Arabidopsis thaliana: one gene and its partner. The protein of the gene in region 1 interacts with the protein of each later gene in a pairwise test. Each region holds a gene or a part of one and is shown on either strand. Other genes may lie near its edges.

Evidence for each region.
Region 2: the proteins of Fes1C (region 1) and CYTC-2 interact in a two-hybrid assay, tested with the Arabidopsis thaliana proteins (one large-scale study listed by BioGRID).

What each region holds. Positions count from the first base shown.
Region 1 is NC_003076.8:421,809-429,640, forward strand, and holds Fes1C (Fes1C), read right to left. Parts: upstream 4,571-7,832; 5' UTR 4,405-4,570; intron 4,309-4,404; exon of another isoform or gene 4,287-4,308; 5' UTR 4,261-4,286; coding exon 4,175-4,260; intron 3,982-4,174; exon of another isoform or gene 3,978-3,981; coding exon 3,835-3,977; intron 3,751-3,834; coding exon 3,700-3,750; intron 3,607-3,699; coding exon 3,385-3,606; intron 3,273-3,384; coding exon 3,170-3,272; intron 3,043-3,169; coding exon 2,673-3,042; downstream 1-2,672. Other genes in the region: NDP1 (Tetratricopeptide repeat (TPR)-like superfamily protein), read right to left, coding at 1-150; AT5G02140 (Pathogenesis-related thaumatin superfamily protein), read left to right, coding at 1,576-1,630, 1,725-2,397, 2,473-2,629; AT5G02160 (uncharacterized protein), read left to right, coding at 4,584-4,831, 5,075-5,216; AT5G02170 (Transmembrane amino acid transporter family protein), read left to right, coding at 6,051-6,208, 6,305-6,576, 6,782-6,996, 7,086-7,109, 7,188-7,368, 7,451-7,670, 7,764-7,832.
Region 2 is NC_003075.7:6,275,226-6,280,915, reverse strand, and holds CYTC-2 (cytochrome c-2), read right to left. Parts: upstream 3,969-5,690; 5' UTR 3,834-3,968; coding exon 3,722-3,833; intron 3,533-3,721; coding exon 3,399-3,532; intron 2,728-3,398; coding exon 2,635-2,727; 3' UTR 2,294-2,634; downstream 1-2,293. UniProt on the Arabidopsis thaliana protein: Electron carrier protein. The oxidized form of the cytochrome c heme group can accept an electron from the heme group of the cytochrome c1 subunit of cytochrome reductase.

The DNA.
Region 1 (7,832 bases):
AGCAACATGATTCGCGTTTGGAACGCTGATTTCACCGTGAATCAATCTCAATGGCGTCGAGTATCGAATAAGGTTTCCTCTAACGGAGATCGTGCGGCCACGAATCGTTGCCGCTGCTTCTCTGGAGAATTTGGCAGCTGCGCGAATCATAATCGCTCAATATCTTCTTTTTTCTTGTCTTGCTCAGAAGTAAAGGTTTTACTCAGTAAACGTCGGCGGAGCTCTTCCTCGCCGTCGTCACTAAGAGTGGCCAATTTCAATCGGTATAATTTGAGTTTGGTTTGGAAAAATCGGTATAATTGGCTTGGTTTTGTGATAACCAAATAAACCAAAAATTGACCCAAAAGTTCCTCTAGAATTTTTTTTTTTTTTTTTTTTTTTTTTTTGTTGTTGTGGTTTTTAAAGAACTTATAATCCATTGTTGTATATGTTCACTTTGTAAATCATTGTGCAAATTCACTCTTTACATTTGCAATATGATTTGAAGTGTTATCTCAATTTGGTTTCATATGTTATTTTGCTTCAGCTTGAAGTAATATTGAGCAAGTAGTACTCATCAATATGTTATATGTATGTCTTGCAAGATACCTACCCACCAAAACCTTCAACCTCCCCACCTGTTATTAAAAGCAAGTCTATAGACTCTAGTGACATTCTTGGCTTCGATCTCTATTATTACCTTTCAAAAACCAACAAAATATTATAAGAACATTAAAAAGAGAATGATTTGTTTTGTGTAAATATAGCCTTTGTTTAAAAACAAAGCAAATCCTCTCATTGAAGTAATGCATATATGCTCTCTGCTGATTTGATGTACAAAGTGAAAAAGGTCATAGCAAAGGTAAGAAATGTTGGGACATGCTAGGCTACTAGCAAGTGATGAAGTTTATATACGCATAGATAACATATAACATAATTTTTGAAAGAAAAACAAACTGACATATAAAATCAAAAGTTCAAAACTCTAGTGAAGCACTCTAACATTTTCCTTATTACAATTTTCATATAGACTCAAAACAGTGAATTCAGGTGGTAACATTACGACATTATTACAAAAATTATAAAACTATATTCAAAAATATCAAATCAATTTCTAAGAATAATTAAAATGTTAGACAATGAGATTTTAGCTAGGTCTGAAAATTAGTTATGGATTGTAAAGTATAAACAAATTTGCCTTAAAGAAATGCAATGATGAAGAAATCTATGAGTGTTAATCTTTATCCAATAATAAACGTTTGAGAGACATATGAATCTTTCTCTTTTTCTTTAAATCCAACTTTAACCCATTCTTCATAGAAGAAGGCTCACGATCAAGCCTCCATATCTTTCTCTTTCCCACTAATCCCATGAAAGTCTCAGTTTATAAAACGTTAGCACTTGGCAGTTCCCTATACAACAATCCACTTCACCACACCAATATTAGTCTTGCAACCCAAGTTTCCACTTCTTCCTTCGACCACGACGTCCTCAACATATTCTTTATTAATATTCTCTTGAAAACAACCACAACACACACAAAAGCAAACTTTAGAAGTGATATATCCCCACACAACAACAACAACATCAACAACAATGACGAAATCTGCAACTCTATTCCTTCTCTTTCTCACTATCTCAGCCTTCACTGGTACGATATCTCTTCTCCTTCTCGATAATTTATGAAATGGGTTTTGTTTCTCGTTTTGATTCCTCTCAATAATAGTGACTTTGTTCTTTTGCAGATGGAGCTCAGCTTATAATAGTGAATAACTGCCAGGAGAGCATTTGGCCGGGAATTCTCGGCGGCGGAGGCCAAATCACACCAAGAAACGGCGGATTCCACATGGGAAGCGGCGAAGAAACCATCATAGACGTACCGGATAAATGGTCCGGTCGAATCTGGGGTAGACAAGGCTGCACCTTTAACCAAAACGGTAAAGGCTCATGCCAAACCGGAGACTGCAACGACGGCTCTATCAACTGCCAAGGAACCGGCGGTGTACCACCAGCAACCGTAGTAGAAATGACATTAGGCTCATCTTCCTCTCCGCTTCATTTCTACGACGTAAGTCTCGTCGACGGTTTCAATCTTCCGGTGTCGATGAAACCAATCGGCGGTGGAGTTGGATGTGGCGTTGCGGCTTGTGAAGTGAATTTGAACATTTGTTGTCCATCAGCTTTGGAAGTTAAGAGAGATGGGAAAGTGGTTGGTTGTAAAAGTGCTTGCTTGGCGATGCAATCGGCTAAGTATTGTTGCACCGGTGAATATGCGAATCCTCAGGCGTGTAAGCCGACTCTGTTCGCGAATCTGTTTAAAGCGATTTGTCCTAAAGCTTATAGTTATGCGTTTGATGATTCTAGTAGTTTGAATAAGTGTAGAGCTTCTCGTTATGTTATCACTTTCTGTCCTCCAAAGTGAGAGGCTTCTGATTTTTATGTTATGTTTATCATGCAGTAGCTTGATTTGGTACTTGTACGGTCTGTTTTTAGGTCATTGAATGAGAAACTGAGAAAATTTGAACTCAAAATAGAATCAAAATTTGGTCATTATACAGTGGTTACCATCCTTTTAACTAGTGTTCTAAAGACACAAGCTTTAGCTGGTGGGTCCAAAGACATAAAAGACGGTTTTAGTGCTTACTCATGATATAAGGAAGCACAGACGGTTTTGTCTCTTTGTATCTTTGTCTCTAAAGAGAAGAAGGTTCGTTGAAGATTGTGGTCCATAGTGAATCTAAGAGCTGCCTCTCCTCTTTAGCGGCTGATAGATCTTCTTGTGACATAAACAAGCTCATTGCTTTGACCCGGCTGATTGCTTTGATCCGATCTTTTAGAATCTGTCTGAGTCTCTCATCGCCTTTCACTATGCTAGAACCACAAGTACTACAGTCTTTTCTAGCTTTCACGAGCTCAAGCAATCCTCGAAGAGCAGCTTCTCTTACATCAGCATCGAAGCTAGACACGAGGTGCATCATCAAATGGTGAAGCCCGAATTCTATAGCAATATCGGAGTCTGAGTCATTCTCTTGTAGAAGATAATGCAACAAGTTTAAAGCTTTCCTGAAGAATGAGAAAGTAATGACAAAAGTTTTGAAAGTTAGACAACAGCAGAACAAAGGTTACAACTTTGTGTTCTCTCAAAGTTCAGAGGAATCCAAGCATGAAGAAAAGTGAAGAGTATTATTACCTTTGAAATCTCACACTATCAGTTTCCAAAGCATCTTTTAAACCAGAGTAACCATTTGCAATCCGGAAACCTGTGATCCCAGGTTTATTATTGCGAATCAAAGCTGTACCCCAAATTTACCACAATACATTCATCAGATTTACGATAGACATTTTTGTTTTTGAAAAAGGCATTCGACCATCTAAGTATATAGGATAGAACTCAGAGCAGCTTACATGATATTGCACCGAGAGCCTGTGTTCGAGAATGCATATCGGTGTCTGAAGTAAACCTTAAAAGCAAGGACTCTAAACCATTGGCTTCCATAACTGATTCTTGACTCCGAGGATTGTTCTCAACTATTGTGCTTACAACATCTGCAGACTTAGCCCGGATATTAGCATTGGAGTTTTTGAGGTAGCCAAGAAGAGGTACCAAGCCTCCAACGGAATGAAGATCTGCCCATACATTCAAAGAAGTACAAGTTAAGCCCAGCAATCAAAAGACAGATATAGAACAAAGTTACAAGGTCAAAGTATGAAAAGACTCACCATTAGCCATATCAATCGATTCAACATGTTCCTGCAACTCATCCAACAAACCTACCAAATCATCATAACTCAAAATCTTAGTAACCAACAAGAGAGAAAATAGCTAAGAAAACAATAGTGAACTCCATATTGAACCTTCAATATCTTGAGGGGTCACTTCATGAGCCTCCAAAACTTGTTGAGGTGTCTGCAATACCTGTGTAATCTCCTTCAACCGCTTGACTACATCTACCGTTTGTGATTGCATAGCTTCTGCAAACCATTTTCGATCCTCCTCACTGTCTAACCAAACAATTTCATATCATCAAAAACCATCTACCAAACAATACCAAATCAAATAGTCAAATTCCACTACATGATTCATTCCTCATAAGAAACTGACGCAGAACCACGCAAATTTCTAAAACAACCCAACAAACAACATAAGCTCCACTAAGTGACCAACAAAACCTGAAATTACAAAGAAACTTCGTACCTTAATTGGCAAGTAGGTCGAGTACCATCGGAGTGAGAGAGACTCCACTTAAGCAGACCGTCCCAGTTAGGTCCGTCTTTCGCCATTGAAGCAACGGAAGAAGAGAAAGACTCTGCGAAGGTCAGAGAGTCAGAGACAATGACAAATAGTTTGGGCCTTATGTTCACGCTAACTTAATAATGGGCTTAACAGGCCCAATTGTTAACTCGAAATATCTTGAAGGGGCCTACCTTATCCACACACAAAAGAAAACTGAAGAACCCCAAAAATCCCAAGTGAAAACGTTATCCACTTCGAGAGAGTGACACGTCACGAAGCAAATCCAAATTCAAAACCTTTCCATAAAAATCAAATCACTTCTTCTTATTACTTCCCCCAAATCGAAATCAGTCACTTAAAACCCTAAATTATGACGATCGCACCGGCATTGCAGACGACGTTCGTGTCATCAACCAACTTCCTGAAACATTCTTCTTCGTGGGGATCACCATCACCGAACAATGTGATTCTTCCCAAAAACAAGAGATCTTCTTCCTCCGTAGTTGTCGCCGCCGTCGGTGATGTCTCTTCTGACGGAACAATCTACTTAATCGGCGGAGCCATCGCCGTTGCACTCGTCGGAACTGCATTCCCGATCCTCTTCAAACGCAAAGACACGTAAACCACTCTCATCTTTTTACCTTGTGACTTAAACCGGTTTTAATGCTCGTTAAACCAAATTTTGACTGATCAATTGCAGATTATCATAGTTTATTGTCCGGTTCAACATTCGAATTATCTTAACCGGACTAAATCCTCTGTTATGGATTTTGAAAACGTACATAAACTCTTAGCCGATGTAGTAAACTGAATCAGAGATTGTACATTGTGAGTTTAAGCTCTGAAATGTGTGTGGTTTAGGTGTCCGGAATGTGACGGAGCAGGATTTGTGAGGAAAGGAGGAGTGACTCTGAGAGCCAACGCCGCACGGAAGGATCTTCCTCAGATCGTTTGTGCTAACTGCAATGGACTCGGAAAGCTTAACCAGATTGATAAATCATAAGTCTTCTTCATATATATGTAAAAAGCTCCATTTCTCATTCCTCTTCTTCTCTACAATATACCTCTGCAAAAGTAGATAGCTTGGAATGATCAATGGTTGCTTGGAGATGGGTGGATATATATATATATATATATATATACAATTGCTTTTTTATGTGTAAGTTTCTTTGCTTTCTTGTTCTGTAAGAAATTGTCTGAGTATTATTGTAAGTTTTTAAGCAGTTATAGACGAAGGTGCTCAGCTACCAAAATAAAACGAACAAAAAATAAATTTAACTGCTGCATAAGTAATTAGAGATGAACATTTAATGGCCAATTAATGACCCAACTGTCATTGGCTTCTTACATCACATGCATATCAACTAATCTTCATTACGTGTCTATTTCTGTGTTTTATAAATAACCTCGCCAGAAACGTTTTTATATTTTTTCAAGCAAATAGTATTATTGTATAAAAACTAAATTTTTTGTAAATGAACCTTACGCGTCAGAGTAGAAGATTCTTTGAATTGTTCTTGAAGTTTCTTAGATTTAGTAGTGATAGGATAATGGGACATTATTAAATTTATCTTATTGGTGGAATAATGGGAAAATCGTGAATTTGTTCATTAATACATTTAAATTATGGGGAAAAACAAATTCAGGGAGACATCATCATAGGTAAGGAGACTGCTAATTAAAGAATATAAAGAAACGTGACAATAATTTAGAACTTGAAAACAGAACACGTTTCGTTGCGTCCCCTAGTTGCTTCTTCTCAATCTTCTTCTTCTTCTTTTTAGACCTTTTGTTGGTTTTTGAAACAGAGCACAGTAGAAGAATACAAACAAAGTAGATGAAGCAAAACGAGACATTCGATCAAGAAAGGGAAGATTTGTATCACACGTTCGATGAGGAAGATGAAGAAAGCCAAACAGAGAGCTCCGTTCCCTCAACTCCTTTATCTCGTAACAGATCCGAAGACGTTCCCGTTCCGTGGCCTCGAAGTTATCGGTAAATCATTTTCTTTTTAAGTGCTCTGTTTTTGTAAGAGATCTGAAGAAATTATTCTTTAGAGAATAATTTTGGTGTTCTTGGGGATATTTTCAGACAATCTATGGATTTGTTGACTGGAGTTACACCTCCGACTAGTACAAGTTTTGTCTCTTCATTTCGCCAGAGACGACAAAGCTCTGTTTTCGGTTCGTTTACTTCTTCACCAAGCAAACAGCAACTTCTCATAGACAAAGACGAGATCCAAAGCTCTGTTGTGTCCTCCATCAAATCATTTCTTGCTTCTCATCTCCAGCTATCAGTCCCAGGGGATCTTTTAACTCCCCAAGAAAACCGCAGTTGCACATTCTCTCAATCCGTTCTCAACGGTAATAATTGCATTAGGAATGTTCAATCTGAGTTTTGGTTAGGTTTTCTCTGTTTTCCAAGATTAGTCAAATAATCAAACTGAAACCAAATCTGATATATATTGATGAACTGAGTTTACGTTTAGTATAGCATTAGTGCGAGAGTACTGAGTTTACGATTATCTTTTCTATTTAGATTGAGATTCTTAACATTCTCTTTTTGCAGGAATTAACGTTCTATGTGGAGTAGCTTTACTTACAATGCCTTACGCAGTTAAAGAAGGAGGATGGTTAGGGCTTTTCATACTCTTCTCCTTTGGCATTATCACTTTCTACACCGGCATTCTCCTCAAGAGATGTCTCGAGAACTCCCCTGGAATCCACACTTACCCGGACATCGGTCAAGCTGCATTCGGAACCACTGGACGCATCCTCGTCTCTGTAAGATTATTTTTCAAATAATCAATCTTAACTTTGTTTGTGTGTGAATTGTGATCCTAACTTAACTTGGGTTTGGAATTACATTTCAGATACTTCTCTACGTAGAGTTATACGTAAGTACCAAACTCTCTTTCATGTTTCATATCATGATTGAAGAAATTGAGGTCCTAACTTTGAATTTTTTTCTGTAGGCATCTTGTGTGGAATACATAATCATGATGAGTGATAATTTGTCAAGAATGTTCCCAAATACCTCCTTATACATCAACGGATTTTCTTTAGATTCTACTCAAGTTTTCGCCATTACCACGACTCTTATTGTTCTTCCTACTGTCTGGCTCAAAGACCTCAGCTTATTGTCCTATCTCTCAGGTTCATCTCGTAATTGGCACACACAACAATCTCTGAGATTTGAACTCTTTAATTAAATTTAAGAAATGTTTTGTTTCCTTAGCCGGAGGTGTCATCTCCTCAATCTTGCTTGCGCTTTGCCTCTTTTGGGCTGGATCAGTAGACGGGGTTGGATTTCACATAAGCGGACAAGCTCTTGATATAACTAACATACCTGTCGCAATCGGAATTTACGGGTTCGGTTTCGGGAGTCACTCTGTTTTCCCCAACATTTACTCATCCATGAAAGAACCTTCCAAGTTTCCTACGGTGCTTCTCATCAGGTAAAACAACTTTTGCTTATAGCGCAAGAAACCTCTAGGTCTAATTTTCATCACTTCTCATTTCATAAAATAATTGTTTGTTGCGTTATGTAGTTTTGCGTTTTGCACTCTATTTTACATTGCGGTAGCGGTTTGTGGATTCACGATGTTTGGTGATGCGAT
Region 2 (5,690 bases), on another chromosome or scaffold:
CAATTAAATTTGGACCTAAATATCCAAAACAACTAAACTATTCAAAAATTATTTATTATGTTTGTCAAAATTTAGTAAAATATATTCAGATATAATTAAATTTATTAAAACTTAACAAATTTAAAAGTTTTTTTTGTTTGGAGATGCGCTATCTACATACAAATTTACCGTTTCTATTTTTTTGGGTATTTTTAGGGTCTGAAACTTTTTATCCAAACTGACCCAAACCCAACTGGATCAGACCCGAACCAGAACCGAATATTTATAATTATTCTATTGGGTAGTAAATCATATACCCATTAATCCCAAACCCGAACGGGTTCTACCCGAACTCGAATGGGTTACTCATATGCCCAATATTCTCTGATTTAATTATCTAAAAACTCTTTAAAAAAAACATATGTTTTACTAACTACTTTTTATTCAAAAAAATTTAGTGTTTAAAAAAACATATTATTTAGTGTTTAAAATTATACACTTGTATTTTGATTGTTAATTTTAGAGTTTCACATGTAGTATACCATCTTGTATTAATATCGATTTAGGGCCTGACTGTTTTAAACGCAGCGGGTGCGGTTGCGGTTGCGGGAGTTTGCGGAAACGGGCGGTTGCGGTTTCAAGCGTTATCAAGCGTTTTGAAAATTCCTTATTGGGTAGAGTTTTAGTAAACCCGTGGATATCCGATTGGCCCGGAAATTACCCGTTACCCAAAAAGAGTATTCAAAAACCCAAACATTAATTTAACATCCAAAATATTAATTATATTTAATCGTAATATTATCTAATTATCTAAGATTATAATTATAAATCTAAATATGTCAATTAAATTTGGACCTAAATATCCAAAACAACTAAACTATTGAATGAATAAACAACGATGCTATGAAATAGTTAAAGAATTACACTAGCTAATGAATGAATAAAAGGATAGATGATAGTTATGTTTGATTCTTGATTTTGATTTTCATCGAATGCCATAATTGAGATAATAAGGTTACAATATATTGATTAAGGTTTTCTGATAAAAATAAGATATATAAAAGATTAGATTATTTTAATTATAGTGATTAGAATTTGGGTGGAAGCCACCATTATTTAATTTAATTAAAAAAATATTATTTTTTTAACCTAACCGCTACCGCCCGCAACCGCAAACGCTTGCGGGAAGGAGCTTTTGAAAACGGGCGATTTCGAGCGGTCCAAAGCGATGTCTAGCGGTTTCTATGATTGGTGTCAATCGCTAACAATCGCTACCAATCGCAAACGCTGCGTTTGCGGGTGGTAAAGGGAGAACCAATCAAGCCCTTAAACCCGTCAATTCTAGGATTTTCCAGCTTCTATTAAATATTGAATCACATCATACACATAAAAAAAATCTAATATGTTATTAATTATTGTAGTATATAAGATTAAAAATTTTTAAAATAATATGTATGAAATTGAATATAAATATTCAAATTATGACCCAATACTCAGTAGAAAATTTTCTTAAATCTATTTTTGATCCGTTATAATATTTTTTATGTATTGAACAGTTTATATTCGTTTTTAAAAATTCAAATTATGGTATATGCGAAGCAACTCTAATTATTTTTTTATAACGATGATATTATTTTTTCGCAAAAATAGAATCATATAAAGATGAGAGGTGAACTATAATAATTAATAAAAAATTAATATAAAATTTAGATATCAAATCTAATTTGTTGATTTTGATTGGTTACTTTTTTGGAAATTAATAATGTATTTCGTTTTTTAATTAAATTAGTATTTAACTTAAATTTTTAAAGAGATGAATTAATTTACTCTTTAAATTTTATTTCTAATGGCATACTTATGTAATTACTTACAAAGGTTATATTTAAAATGTACTTCCCAAATAATATAGTAGGATATCCCAATGATATTTAGACAAAGAAAAATAAAAAAACAGGTCAATCTTGCTTGCGAGTATTTGGGGAAGGAGTTTTGAGAGACAAACCAAGATCTCTGCAAGACTCTTCATTAGGCTGCAAGCTTCCAAGTAAAGAACCAAAAGCTGTTCTTGAAGCTTAAATGTGGCAAATGTTCTTGTGGGGTAATAAAATCTAATAATATGCATTAATTATAGAACCACTATGCTGCATAGGAATTCACTTTATATATGCATCTTAGGTGGTAAATAATCTTTTATGCCACTTATCATATGGCAACTCGTAATGATCCACCATTTTTATTTTATGCCAAAATGCTTCAACTTTATCTTCCAAAATGAATGTAACACTGTCAGATTTTCCTTTATGTTGTCTTTTATGTTCTACTGATTTAGCTGAATTATGCGCATCTCTTACGTATTTGTCTAATTATTGAAATGAAAATGAACAACTGAAAAAAAGATTCTAAACTCGTAACAAAAGTAGGCAAGTTGAATTAGGAAAATCTCATGACTATCGTGGTGGAAATTGGTTCTTAGCTCTTCACATCAATAACGAATATTCCACTTTATAAGAGGCAACTAGCCTCTTCAACAACGTAAAAAGAAAGAAAGAATAAAAGACCATACAAAAAGCAGTTCATGACCATAATATTTTTGGTCTGATTTTATTTAGCTGTGAGAAAAAAAAATGCCAGCTTCATATATCTGGACGAGCCTGTCTAAGCAGTACCTTCCTTCAAATAAGCGATGAGATCGGCACGATCTTGCGGTTTTTTCAGTCCAGGAAACACCATTTTTGTTCCAGGGATGTACTGTAACAAGCAAAGAAATTCCACACCAATTCAATCAAATTGAGATCTTATCTCTTCATAATTGCTCAAAAAGAAACAAGCGACCCAAAAGTGTGAAGAAAGGAGTCAGTATTAGCCAAACAGCATTTTCTTGACAGACAATATTATGTTTCGATATTCTAGAATATGCAATATAATAAATTGGAACACTGTTGAGATGATGATGCACACACAGGTTATGATGCACCAGCTTAAAGAGTGAAAGATGAATCATAAGATTTGTGGAAAATTCCACAAATCAGCTCAATAAAGAGACAATAGACAAGAGTGAAGGAAAGACTCAAGTATTAACCAAAACAAATGTTGCTAATTGCTTGATATTCTTGAACATGCAATAGAAAACAAATGGCACAACATTGAGATGTTGCACTTATTAGTGTACCATTTTGAAAGATGATGTCCAATTTCACAAATATGGAGATTTTTGCACCAAACCGAAATGAACAAACAAATTGTGTTTCTAGATCAACCTAACAATACTTAAGAAGGTATAAAGACTCATAATTCCTTTTGCAACAAATATTCTAAAACTAAAGACCACTAATCCACAAATTAGCTTATGAACAATCAAGAACCTTAATCACCAGACTCTATGATCGAAGTCCATTAAAGATTAAAGAGCAATCAAATACCTTCTTAGGATTCAACAAGTAATCGTAAAGAGTCTTCTCCTCCCAATTCACAGCCATGCTTTTGTTAGCAGCAGAGTAAGAATATCCTGGAGTTGTTCCAGATTGTCTTCCAAACAATCCATTCAAATTCGGTCCTGAATTCATAACAAAATTCCAAAATTCAAAATAAAGACATACGGATCCTAAACAAACACAAACGAAGATCAATACGAGAAAACGAAACGCATGTGGTAGATCCAGATTCGAACAAAGCGTAACCAAATAAAATCAAACGATGATGATACAGAATATTGTGGATCTAAGAGAGAATCAGAGGAACAGACCTTGTTTGTGACCGGCACCTTTCTCGACGGTGTGACACTGAGCGCACTTGGTTCTGAAGATCTTTTCACCGGCTTTGGGGTTTCCGGGAGGTGCTTCGTCGAACGACGCCATTGAAGAAGCAACAAGGAAGAAATATCAACGGTGGCTTTTTGACGGTTTCTGATTTTTTTTTGAAATGACCTTTTTTATGAGAAGTGAGAAAAAGAAGGTTCGAGGAGGCAGAAGAAAAATAGAGGTGGCGTGAGAGATACACAGGCCATACGTTTTGTTCTGGGTACACGTGGCGTCTAAATAGTGGTTTATTTTGAGTCGGTTGACTATTTATTTCTGTTTTTTTTTATTATTTTATAAAACTCGGTTTAGGAAGTGGGCTTACAAATGGGCTCAGAAAGTAAATATTCGGGCCTAAAATTCACATATTTGTTTTTTTTTATTTTTATTTTTTACAACCTTTATATTTATAACCCAAAAATATTTTCTTGACTACTATATATAGTTTTTTATTTAATGAAATATTATTTTTAGTGAAAAATAGTAAAAAAACAAAAAAGGTAGTTTTGCAAATCTCCCAAAGTAAAAGGTAATTTTAAGACGGGTTTTATTTACATTCCAACTTTCATTTTCACAGCTTTAATTTTCAAATTTCGTTGTAAACTCACTTCTCAAATAGTAATATTTAGAAGTTAACCAATTAATTAAAGAGGTATGCCAAAAGTGTTAAAAATAAAATACATATATACACACATGAAAATATGCAAGTCCATTCTTTTTTTTTCATTTATGGAAATCTATATTTGTCATTCTTTTAATTGTTTAAAAAGTTTAGTGAAACATTCAACTCACGATTGATAAATTTTCATGTTCTAGAAGTTTTATACACACCAAAGATATTATTATTTTCATATATGATATATCCAAATGTAATTCAAGTAAAAATGATTAAAAGTTTTATAAGTAAAATGAGTAACAAACTAACAATGACTCAACTATTTTTCAGGTAAAAAAAAGGAAAAATTAATAATCCTTATTTAACTCTAAAACTTTAGAGAAATTTGCAAAAATACCATTTTTCTCCTAATTATCTTTTTGTCCACTTTTACTCTTGGGCAGTTCGTTTTATTTCTTCTGCAAAATCTGTATCATCTTTGGATCCGAAAATATTGGAATATCATCACGATTTTAGAAATGAAATCAATTACTTCTTTAAGCAGACATGGATATTTTACTTTTGTCAGTTGCAGAACTCCATAGTTAAAGTTTGAAAGTGTTCTCGTCAATGATAAAACTTCAAATTCAACTTCAAAATAATTTGTATTTTGCATTATAGTTATCATATTGTTTAGTTCATAAAAGCTTATATATATAACTATAAAACATACATTAAATAAATATTATAAGCAAATTGATTAATAAATAAAACATTACATTACAATATAAAATTACATATAAATAATAATAATAAACTCACAAATTAAGTCACAACTTCCAAATAGAATACAAAAACACTGAATAAACTTGTGCATCATATGTACTCTCTAACATCACAATCTCTATAAATGTTTTCATTTCAAATCAATTTAAGTAGAGATGAGGGTGAATTAAATTTCATCACATTGTCCGAAAGTAATAAACCACATGTTAATATTTTGTTTTCATCAAATGAATAAATTCTTAATCTACTAATAAAAGTGCAGCAACTAAGGGAAAGAGCTATGAGATAGCTCAACAACATATGCAAAATCTAGCAAAATAAAAATAAAAATTAATGAGTTTATTCAGTTTGAACTACTAAGAATGATACCCAAAAACAAAATTCAAAAAAAAAAAAAAAAACATTCGATCACATCAAATTTGTATATATATAATACTTTGGTGACCTTTGTATTGTTGTAGTATTTTATTTCTTGTAACATTTATGTGTTCATGTAACTTTATTTCTTTTATTACTACATTTTGTATTAAATTTGT